3 linked regions of the Arabidopsis thaliana genome follow. The protein of the gene in region 1 interacts with the protein of each later gene in a biochemical or structural test. Each region holds a gene or a part of one and is shown in the gene's direction. Other genes may lie near its edges.

Evidence for each region.
Region 2: the proteins of AT4G18950 (region 1) and AT2G41090 form a complex in vitro, tested with the Arabidopsis thaliana proteins (one large-scale study listed by BioGRID).
Region 3: the proteins of AT4G18950 (region 1) and CAM8 form a complex in vitro, tested with the Arabidopsis thaliana proteins (one large-scale study listed by BioGRID).

The regions. Positions count from the first base shown.
Region 1 is NC_003075.7:10,373,688-10,377,443, forward strand, and holds the start of AT4G18950 (Integrin-linked protein kinase family), read left to right. Parts: upstream 1-1,556; 5' UTR 1,557-1,997; coding exon 1,998-2,330; intron 2,331-2,438; coding exon 2,439-2,513; intron 2,514-2,604; coding exon 2,605-2,700; intron 2,701-2,787; coding exon 2,788-2,873; intron 2,874-2,958; coding exon 2,959-3,079; intron 3,080-3,161; coding exon 3,162-3,241; intron 3,242-3,335; coding exon 3,336-3,398; intron 3,399-3,504; coding exon 3,505-3,611; intron 3,612-3,741; coding exon 3,742-3,756. UniProt on the Arabidopsis thaliana protein: Serine/threonine protein kinase that phosphorylates proteins on serine and threonine residues. Mediates blue light-dependent stomatal opening in guard cells by promoting plasma membrane-type ATPases (AHA1 and AHA2) phosphorylation.
Region 2 is NC_003071.7:17,133,304-17,137,059, forward strand, and holds AT2G41090 (Calcium-binding EF-hand family protein), read left to right. Parts: upstream 1-2,043; 5' UTR 2,044-2,519; coding exon 2,520-2,595; intron 2,596-2,698; coding exon 2,699-3,059; intron 3,060-3,176; coding exon 3,177-3,315; 3' UTR 3,316-3,696; downstream 3,697-3,756. Other genes in the region: AT2G41080 (pentatricopeptide (PPR) repeat protein), read left to right, coding at 1-1,251; AT2G41082 (uncharacterized protein), read left to right, coding at 1,522-1,626.
Region 3 is NC_003075.7:8,395,671-8,399,426, forward strand, and holds the start of CAM8 (calmodulin 8), read left to right. Parts: upstream 1-2,041; 5' UTR 2,042-2,129; coding exon 2,130-2,208; exon of another isoform or gene 2,209-2,292; coding exon of another isoform or gene 2,293-2,317; coding exon 2,318-2,475; intron 2,476-2,896; coding exon 2,897-2,977; coding exon of another isoform or gene 2,978-3,025; exon of another isoform or gene 3,026-3,035; intron 3,036-3,756.

The DNA.
Region 1 (3,756 bases):
GCTGCATTGGTTTAGTAAGGTATGATGTTCCATGGTTCGGCTCAAATTTGTTATCGGTTTGGTCTAAATGTATCTTTGCCTCTGGCTTAATTCTATGTTAATATGAACATAGTTTATGGATCTTGTGGGAATATTCCTCCTTCTGTTTCTTGTTAAGTGTTTTGGTTTATATCTTGAAGAAGAATGACCTAGTCAAGGATTTGAATCATTGGACTCTTATCAAACTGATAATATCATAATAAGATGATTCAAGATATAATATTTAAAAGCACACAATCATGAATCAATTTGGAGTCTAGTTGACATTTGTTACTAAATTACTAACAAAAGGTTCAAAAAGTTTGAATTGACATTAAAGATAAGAATCATTGATAAGGGTGCAGGAGGAGGAAAAAGCTATAAGTAAACAACTTGTCATTCGTCGAAACTAAAATATGATAGCTATGTGCATATGTTTTAACATAGATTTAAAATTTAATGTAAAGTTTTTTCATCATAATTTAGTACGAGTATAGGACAAAACTTGGTAAGATTTTGCTCGAATTTCGTAAAATATAATACTTTCTTGAAACTTTTTATTTAAGTAACGTTGACATTCATGTGACGTGTATGTATCCAATTTTGGTTAATAAGATGCTATGAAATCTAATTATTATACTTTCATTCAACCACTATTCGTATCTAATTAATTAGAATATTCTTTTAATTTTAGTAAACCAAATGAGCTATAGAAAAACATCTCTATAAGAGTAGCTAGGAACCAATTTGGAATGTATAGTTGACATTTGTTACTAAATCACTTAGAGAAACTCCATAAAGTTGGATTGAAATCAAAGGAGAAGTAATATTAAAATGTTTTCAGCAGGAACATATGAGCTATAATTAGACAACTTGTCATTTAAGACAACAAATTGATTATCATCATGTCTTAAGATACGAATGTCAAAATCTTGACCTTGCATGTTAGTTGTTATACATAACTGGTTGAAAAGATAGTTAAGTCTAAAGGTTGACAAATGATGAAATAAAAATTAGAAAAAATGTTAAAGCCATACAAATCCACATGTTGTGAAGTTGAATAAGTAAGTTAAACGAGTTTTGGTTCTAAACTGAAATTTGACCCCCAAAAAAAAGATGAGGATGCAGATGTCAATCTTTACCTATTCAATGTACACCACAATAAATTGAATCACATTCTTAGCATGAAACCTTATCCAATTTGTTTGTATATTTTTTCCTTGGCCAACTAAAGTGGCTATTATCAAGAAACAACTAAAGTACCCTGTAAATTGATAAAGAAAACAAGTGGAAAATATGTAAATATATCATTTTAGAATTCAAACCAAAATAGAACTCATGTAATCTTATAATTCTTATCCCCTTTTTAAAAAGTCTTTAATTTTAGACATGACTTTAAAAATTCACGAGCCAGGTTGGTTACAAACTTACAAAAACTCGTCGGCGCATGTAAAACGCAGTCGTTTAACCGAATCGAATCCAAACACGTGCGGGTTCATCCACACCGTTAAGTTTCATCTGACGCTGTTTACATCAACGGCTAAGATTTGTTATTCTCTCTTTTCGTCAACGCATTGTTACCGTGGCGCCAGATATGACGTCTATATACGCGCATAAAATCACGTGACAAACACGCGCTCAACAAAAGCTGGTTCTTCTCCTTTTCCTCTCCGATGACTTTCTTACCGACCAGCTTAGTCTTCTCCATTACGGCATCATTCACCTATAAATTTCGCCGCTGGGTTTAATTCTCTATTCATTCAGAACCAAAAAAGAAGAAACCTTTTTGATTCTCTTTGCGATTTCTTTGTTCAATCTCTTCTCAGATTGTGTGAATCGGGTTTAAATCGGGGTTTTAGGGTCTCTGTTTTCAAAAGGGTACCAAAAAGTTTGGAGCTTTACTGTAGAAAGATTTGATTTTTCGTTGACCCACTCCGAGATTTTCGGATACAAATCAGGGTTTTAGGGTTTTTGTTGGAATGGAAGAGGATTATCAACAGCCGAGGTTTACGATTGGTAGGCAATCATCAATGGCGCCGGAGAAGATTCCGGAGCCGTCGGTTCACTCAGAAGAAGAGGTGTTTGAGGATGGAGAAGAGATCGATGGTGGTGTGAGACTAATGTATTTGGCTAATGAAGGTGACATTGAAGGGATTAAGGAGCTTATTGATTCAGGGATTGATGCTAATTACAGAGACATTGATGATCGGACTGCTTTACACGTGGCGGCTTGTCAAGGATTGAAAGATGTTGTTGAGCTTCTTCTTGATCGGAAAGCTGAGGTTGATCCTAAAGATCGTTGGGGAAGCACTGTAAGAAGAAACTAAACCAATTGCTTTTTTTTTTTTTGGTGATTGTCTCTCTGGTTATGTTGAGTAATGATGATGTTTGTTAGTGATCTAATACGTTTTAGAAAACAGCCATTTGCAGATGCGATATTTTACAAGAACATTGATGTTATCAAGATTCTTGAGATACATGGAGCTAAACATCCGGTAAGAATCTGGCTAGTAATGTTGGTTTTGGTGTTTGATTGGAAGCTTATTTGTTTTTCTCATGATTGTTGACACATTTGTATGTTTTCAGATGGCTCCAATGCACGTTAAGACTGCTCGTGAAGTCCCTGAGTATGAAATAAATCCTAGTGAGCTTGATTTCACTCAAAGCAAAGAGATAACAAAGGTAAAAAACATGTTTCATCTGTAATGGATCTTGTATCTATAAGTTTGAGTCTTTTTTGTCTTAACAGTGTGAAGATTCTTGTTTCAGGGAACTTACTGTATGGCAATGTGGCGTGGTATTCAAGTTGCGGTGAAAAAGCTGGATGATGAAGTTTTGAGCGATGACGATCAAGTGTAAGTAAATATCCTGTAGACGGTTCTAACTTCTAAGGTTTTGGATTCCAATTCCTTACCATAATCTTTTTGTATGTGCGTGTAGGAGGAAGTTCCATGATGAGCTTGCATTGCTCCAAAGGCTTAGGCATCCAAACATTGTGCAGTTTCTTGGTGCTGTAACCCAAAGTAACCCAATGATGATTGTGACTGAATATTTGCCCAGGGTACTGACTTTCTCTGATAAATTTGAAATTATTTTTGCATTTAGTTTCACGAAACCAAGATCTCATTTGATATATTCTTCAGGGGGATTTGCGTGAATTGCTCAAACGAAAAGGACAATTGAAACCAGCTACTGCTGTTAGATATGCCCTTGATATTGCTAGGTATGCAAGTTGAAGCTATATATGTCTCTTCTTCGTTGTTTATATATGTTCTATAAGATTCTCTTGTAAATCTTACCCGTTCGAATTATCCTAGGGGAATGAGCTATCTTCATGAGATCAAAGGAGACCCTATAATCCACCGCGATCTTGAACCTTCGTGAGTCACACTGTCCATATCAGTGGTTTCTGTCTCTTATATGTGCAGTTACTGACAGCAAACTCTTTCTGTTTTCGTTCTGACATTGGTAAAACTATATTTGCAGAAACATTCTGCGGGATGATTCAGGGCATCTGAAAGTTGCAGACTTTGGAGTAAGCAAGCTTGTTACTGTTAAAGAAGACAAGCCTTTTACATGTCAAGACATTTCTTGTAAGTACTTTTTCGCACCCAACTAGTTACTGTAAATTTTGAATGCTTTAATTCTTGATCTGCTTGGTTAAAGAGTCTTCATTACTGGATGTGTTATAATAAAAATTTATCGGTGTTATCCACATTATAGGTCGATATATAGCTC
Region 2 (3,756 bases), on another chromosome or scaffold:
AGATCAATGCCGGTTCGTAATTTGGTTGCATGGAATACACTCATCATGGGGAACGCGCAAAACGGATGTCCTGAAACCGTGCTTTATCTGTATAAGATGATGAAAATCTCAGGTTGTAGGCCGAACAAGATCACATTTGTAACTGTGCTCAGTTCTTGTTCTGACTTAGCGATAAGAGGTCAAGGTCAGCAGATTCATGCGGAAGCTATTAAAATTGGGGCTAGCTCTGTCGTAGCTGTAGTTAGTTCATTGATCAGTATGTATTCAAAATGTGGGTGTCTTGGAGATGCAGCTAAAGCTTTCTCGGAACGTGAAGATGAAGATGAAGTGATGTGGAGCTCAATGATTTCTGCTTATGGGTTTCATGGACAAGGCGATGAGGCAATCGAGCTGTTTAATACTATGGCAGAGCAGACGAACATGGAGATAAACGAGGTCGCGTTTCTGAATTTACTTTATGCGTGTAGTCATTCTGGCTTAAAAGACAAAGGGCTTGAGTTGTTTGACATGATGGTGGAAAAATACGGGTTCAAGCCAGGTTTAAAGCACTACACTTGTGTGGTGGATTTGCTCGGTCGAGCAGGCTGTTTGGATCAAGCCGAGGCAATAATAAGGTCTATGCCAATAAAAACAGACATTGTTATATGGAAAACATTGTTATCTGCGTGTAACATACACAAAAACGCAGAAATGGCACAGAGAGTCTTTAAAGAGATTCTTCAGATTGACCCTAATGACTCTGCTTGTTACGTCCTGCTTGCAAATGTTCACGCCTCAGCTAAGAGATGGCGCGATGTATCAGAGGTGAGAAAATCGATGAGAGATAAGAATGTGAAGAAAGAAGCGGGAATCAGCTGGTTTGAACACAAAGGTGAAGTTCATCAGTTTAAGATGGGAGATCGCTCTCAGTCTAAATCTAAAGAGATCTATTCATACCTGAAAGAACTGACTCTGGAGATGAAGCTGAAGGGATACAAGCCTGATACAGCGTCAGTATTGCATGATATGGATGAGGAGGAGAAAGAATCAGACTTGGTGCAGCACAGCGAGAAACTAGCGGTTGCATTTGCGCTCATGATATTACCTGAAGGTGCACCGATTAGAATAATCAAGAACTTGCGGGTTTGCAGTGATTGCCATGTTGCTTTCAAATATATATCGGTGATCAAGAACCGAGAGATCACGTTAAGAGATGGTAGTAGATTCCATCATTTCATTAACGGAAAGTGTTCTTGCGGCGATTATTGGTAGCTGGGCAGTTAAAGTATGCTATGACTCTCTGCTTCAGAGTCTTTCTGGAGTCTTAAGCACTCAGATTGGATCGGGAAGCCATCTGGGACGAAAGCATTCAGCAGCAAGGGTAAAATTACACTGCGGGTAGTAGCTTTGTAGTCTACCTTGAGATTGCTCCTGCCTGTGTTATTCTTGAGTCAGGAACATGAAGTGGTTTGCTGTCAACTTTACTTACTCAAGCCATCTCCGCAAGGTAGAAACTATGGTTCGCGTTATTTCGTATGTACCATGTTTTTGGTCGTTTGTGTAGTTTCTAACCTTCCACACCCTTGGCTTGCGATTCTTTCCAAAGCAGAGATGTTAGATCAGAGGATGGAGTGGGTTCTCAAGTAGAATGCACTTGCGAATCCCTCAGATCAGATTTTTCATAGGTAAAGTTCGTTAACTTCAACAACACCACTTTAGTAAACATGTGATAATCAATCGTCATAAGCATCTTCGATTCATTTTTATCTTATGCAAGTGTTTGCTTTATTATGATTTGTTAAGTTTTGCATAAATACGGACGTTGAAGCACTTCCCAGAACTCATGAGTGTTTTTATAAACTATTTATTAAAAGTTAGTATAAGAAAACTATAACATAAAAGTAAAATATAATTTAGACAAATGTAGCGATTGGTCCAGTTACTCATCCAAAATTCCAAATGAATCTTCCACCGTTGATAATTCTATTCCATTGTTTTCTTCTGTAGAAGACCATATATTATTAAGTCTCTAGTCCATTGTCAATAAATGGAAATACAAAAAAAAAAAAAAAAAAAAAAAGAAGAAGAAGAAAAAGACAGCATTTAATGAACGAAAATAATATTAATGAATTTGGAAGAAGGAACGAACCAACGAGAAAAATCAACGAAATAATTTAGACAAATGTAGCGATTGGTCCACTACCCATCCAAAAGTCCAAATGAATACTTCACCGTTGATAATTCTATTCAATTGTTTTCTTCTGTAGAAGACCATATATTATTAAGTCTCTAGTCCATTGTAAATAAATGTTTCTTTCAAATAAATGGAAATACAAAAAAGAAAAGAAAAAAAAGACAGCATTTAATGATGATAACGATTTGGAAGAAGGAACCAACCAATTAGAGTAACAAACCAAGGAGGCGACTCACATGAAAGCAAAAGCTGACATGGCAGTGAATTCAGTTTTATAAAAAAGGCTTCAAGGCCGAGAGTTCGTAGTACAAACTCTTCTCTCAGTCATCACAGAAAATAAAAAACAATGGCGAATAAGTTCACTAGACAACAGATTTCAGAGTTTAGGGAACAGTTCAGCGTATACGACAAGAATGGTGATGGTATGGTTCATCGTCTCTATTCCTCTAATCGTACATATTGGATCCTGAATCATCTTCAAAGCACTGAAAATGACTAACACAAGTCCTTGATTACTTCTTGTAGGTCACATTACCACAGAGGAGTTCGGTGCCGTGATGCGTTCCCTCGGTTTAAACCTGACCCAAGCTGAGCTTCAGGAGGAGATCAACGATTCGGATTTAGATGGTGACGGAACCATCAATTTCACTGAGTTCTTGTGCGCAATGGCTAAGGACACTTACTCTGAGAAAGACCTCAAGAAAGATTTCAGACTCTTTGACATAGACAAGAATGGTTTCATCTCAGCTGCTGAAATGAGATATGTGAGGACTATCCTCCGGTGGAAGCAAACTGATGAAGAAATCGATGAGATTATCAAGGCAGCTGATGTTGATGGTGATGGTCAGATCAACTACAGAGAGTTTGCCAGGCTTATGATGGCCAAGTGAGATTTAAACAACTTTTCCGCTTCCCCTTTTTTTACTACCTCTTATCTAATTTCATAAAGAATGTTCCTCTCTTGTTCTTAAATTTCATTCTGAGTTCTTGTGTGTATGGCTAGGAATCAAGGTCATGATACTAAATATGACACAACTGGTGGCACTTTGGAGAGGGACTTGGCGGCCGGGGTTGCCAAAAATATCATCGCAGCGCCAATGACCGACTTCATCAAAAATTTGTTCGAAGCGTTGTTTTCTTGAAATGGTACATCAGTAACTTTATGCCATTAGGGTCTGGCTGGTATGTTAGATCTCTCTAAAAAGGCGTTTGATCTTTGAAAATAATTTCTATGTAATAAATTTATTGTGTTACCATCTTTTCTTGCATGCAATTTATTAAAATGAGTTTGTAATATGGTTTCAGTATCGAATATAATTGGGGTATCAATGTATCTTTTGAGAAAAACATTTAAAACGTAGCAGAACTAATTATTGAAAACTGGTAGCATTACTAAAAATTGATCTAAATCGGTTAATGATTTGGCACATACAGTGATCAAATCAGCTAAGCCTCATATCTCACCGTCCCAGAGTTCTTCAAGACTCTTATAAGGACTCATCTAATGAATAATGACATGCCTCGCACCAACCTGCCCTGCAACATTGAAAACACACGTCTACAATTTCGATAACCCAAGTGTT
Region 3 (3,756 bases), 2.0 Mb from region 1:
ATTTTCCCACCTAGGAAGAGTAAAAATGCAAAGATTACTAATGAAGAAAAGCCCCATAATTTTGTTTTTTTTTTTGTTTTTACAATTCGTTTCTAGAAACTCAAAATATGAAAAGTTGAATCGTTTCAAAAAGAAATTGCTGGTTCGTTAATTTGCTACGTCTAATCGTTTATTTATAATTATTTTCTTATATCGTGCTTATGAACTTATAATGCAACGTATGATACATGCATTTCCCCTACTGTTCGAATACCAATTGCAGATTCAATGCAAGTCAGCAAGTATCTCCTAAATTATTTCTTAGCAGTAGATATTCTTCTTAATGATTACAATCTTTTAGCAGTAGATATTCTTCTCAATTATGATATGTGACGTGGAATATATATTTTCATCTGTTATATAAAAACAGTCGCAATTATTCAAACAAAATGTATAGGAAAATAAATAAGTGGTGTGAATATGTGATTCAAATGAATCTGTAATATTCTCAAAATTCCTACCTCCGTGAATTCTAGAAAATGTCGTCGATCGGAACAAATTTGAAAATAGAATGATTTGTGTGGATAAACTTTTAAATCATTGTGTGGGAACGCACGGATTCTACAAAATCATGCTGGCCAAGTTAAGCTTCATAGCCTTAATGCATTCACAGCTATGGACAGTCGAGTTGTACGTTAATATGTCTTCTATGGACAGGAGCGGGTAAGATGGCCAATGAGGTCATTATGTTGAGATGTACGTAGACAAATTTCAATGTTGTTCTTTCTGAGTATTAAAAGAGTGTGATCACTGATTTTGAAGTCAGAAAAAACAAAAGAACATGTTTAAAGCGTCAAGTTTATCGCATCGTCTCGGTTCTCAGATTGTGTATTTGGTAGCTGCGGTGGTGGCTAAATTGCGGTCTCTTTTGTTGACATCACTTGTATTTCTTGACTAGTTATTTGTGCTACCTGGTTTTGAATGTGTCTTGCTAGTGCGGTTCTTCATAATTGAAGTTAGTGCTGCAATGAGTTATCACCTCTTGTTGCGTTTGTTTTGTGTTCTAGAAGAGTTAGTAAGATCGATGGTGTTCGATGTGGTTATGAATCGCATAAATCATGCTCTGCTCTATCCGACTTTGGGGAAAGAAATTGGTAGATGGAGCTTGCATCGTTCGCATAATTTGGTTCTTGAGGTTCCATATTATTGGAAAGCTTATGGACTTGAACAACGAGTCACTGTCACATGACGCGAGAGGAGTTTATGCCAGAGAACTTTGAGTTTCTACCGTTGACGGCTCATCCTTAGACCTCCAATTCAAAGTTTTTAATGCAAATAGTTTAGCATTATGCTTTTTTCAAGCAGTAGTTACCCTTCTTCTTAAAAAAACAAAAAACAAAAAACTTAATTATAAGATAAAATTTCAAAATAGTCATATTTTTATCTAACTCGTTCGGCTTCAACGCTTTGGTTGAGTTGATTGACCAAAACTTGTGAATCACGATGTATGCTTCTATGTTTTATTTTTCTTGTTATAGGATCATTTGTATAGGCTTAAAATCTTTTGATTGTAAATTTATATTTTTATCATTTCAATAAAATATTTTTATTTTTATTTAAGAAAAAACAGAAAAAAACAAAAAACAAAAGAACATAATTGTTGCGTACAAAATGAGTGGCTAATGGGTTTGAACTAGACAGAAAAAGTTAGGGACGTTTTATCAAAGACTATTGTAGGCTTATACTTGTTTGTTTTAGGACTTGTCGTTCTATGTCTATTTGTAGTAGTCTCTACTTGTTAGAATAAGATGATTTTTTCAAAACTAATTTTGCACAAGTGATTTGAACTTTAACAAACAGCGACAATTATTAATTTATTATATGGGATTCAGCCATGTGACTAGAATTAAATTGTTCAATCCAAGAGTTCTAGACCCAAAAAAAAAACAGTACTGCCCTTTCAATTTAAAATAATTTGAGAATCAATTAAAGAGCTTAAAGTAGTTGAAAAGTACATAAGTCCAATGTAGAAAAGGTCTTGTCACAACTCTACATATAGACCATAAATCAGAGATTTAAGCACTTCAAACCTTGAGCTCCCTCCTCTCTCTCTCTCTCTCTCTTTGTCTTCAAAATATTCTCAGAAAACAATGGAAGAAACAGCACTGACAAAAGATCAGATCACTGAGTTCAAAGAAGCCTTTTGTCTCTTCGACAAAGACGGCGACGGTTCTCTTCCTTTCTCTAGATGGTCATATATAGAATAAAGATAATAAAGACGACGACTAATATTATGTTGTGTGACATTTATTTATGGTTGTTTGGAATCCTTTAATAGGTTGTATAACGGTGGAAGAACTTGCAACAGTGATCCGTTCGTTGGATCAGAATCCGACAGAACAAGAACTTCATGATATCATCACTGAGATTGATTCTGATAGCAACGGCACCATTGAATTTGCTGAGTTTCTCAACCTCATGGCCAAAAAACTTCAGGTTCCACTCTCTCTTGATCTCTCATGCTTATTTATTTCACAACTAATTACATCAAGTTAACGTAGCCACGTACAAACCAAAAAGTTACATCAAGTGAAATTTTTTTGTCTATATGATTTCTTATATATTATGTTATAGGTCCCTTATTGTAACTCTTTGATATGGGATCCTAACAGGTTCTAGTCAAAATGGAGCTGTCTCATTCATTATGCTTCTAGTTTATTAAAAACTCTTAAGAAATATATTGGAAATATTCAGCTTTTGTATTACAGCAAAATCTGTTTTGCTTTCGGTTTTTCACTACGAATAAATCTGATTTGTGAAGAACTAGACACGTAAATGTGTATAATGTAAACAAAGACTTTTATGACAATAGTTTTTTTGTATGTTAAGTTGTTGTCATGATCATGTGATGGTTTAGGAAAGTGATGCGGAGGAAGAGCTGAAAGAAGCATTCAAAGTCTTTGACAAAGACCAAAATGGATACATCTCTGCCAGTGAGGTCCGTGACTCTTACTCTCTTTTTTTTCTCTCTTTATTACTAATTTGATATATGTGTCAATGTGTATATTTAGTTAGATATATGCTTGACTTATTGAGAACTTAAAAGGGAACTTATGCGGAAAATCCTCTTTAAGAACTTATAAAAACAAATTAGTTCGATGCACTGGATTGCGTTTTGTACAACGTTCTCCAATAATACCATGTACGGTCTAACTGTGTTTTTATTTGGTTATAAATGATTAGAGCTATAATTATTTAGATTTTTGTATCTACTAGAAATCCTTATCTAAATTTTGGTTATTGTCAAATTTAGTTTAGGTACATGAACCAATTTCATAAATGTCTTCTTTGCTTAAGTGGTACATGCTCTATATCTCTAAAGTGTCGTCAAATACAGGCTAAGCACAATAATTATGAGCATAGTATTTTTATGTAACCACTTGGACCAATTAATTCTGCATTAACTAGAAAAAACGAGAAATCCAGCTAAAACACACTTTCACATATGTAGAATCAATGACAAATATCAGACAACAAAGCCAGACGATCTTCCAATTTAAAGAGATCCATAGTTGTCTCATTTATGTTCTAAAACATTTTTTAACAAGACATGGCCATTTATTTATTTGATTTTATATTTTCGAAAGTCTGTTTTCCATCGTGAGGGCTTAGAGCTAGCTGGCATTGTGAATCTTTAGAGAATAACGAAGAGGAACAAAAGAAATTTTAATACAAAGTAGTTAGATAGAGTAAAATGCGTTTGATTTTATTGGTTTA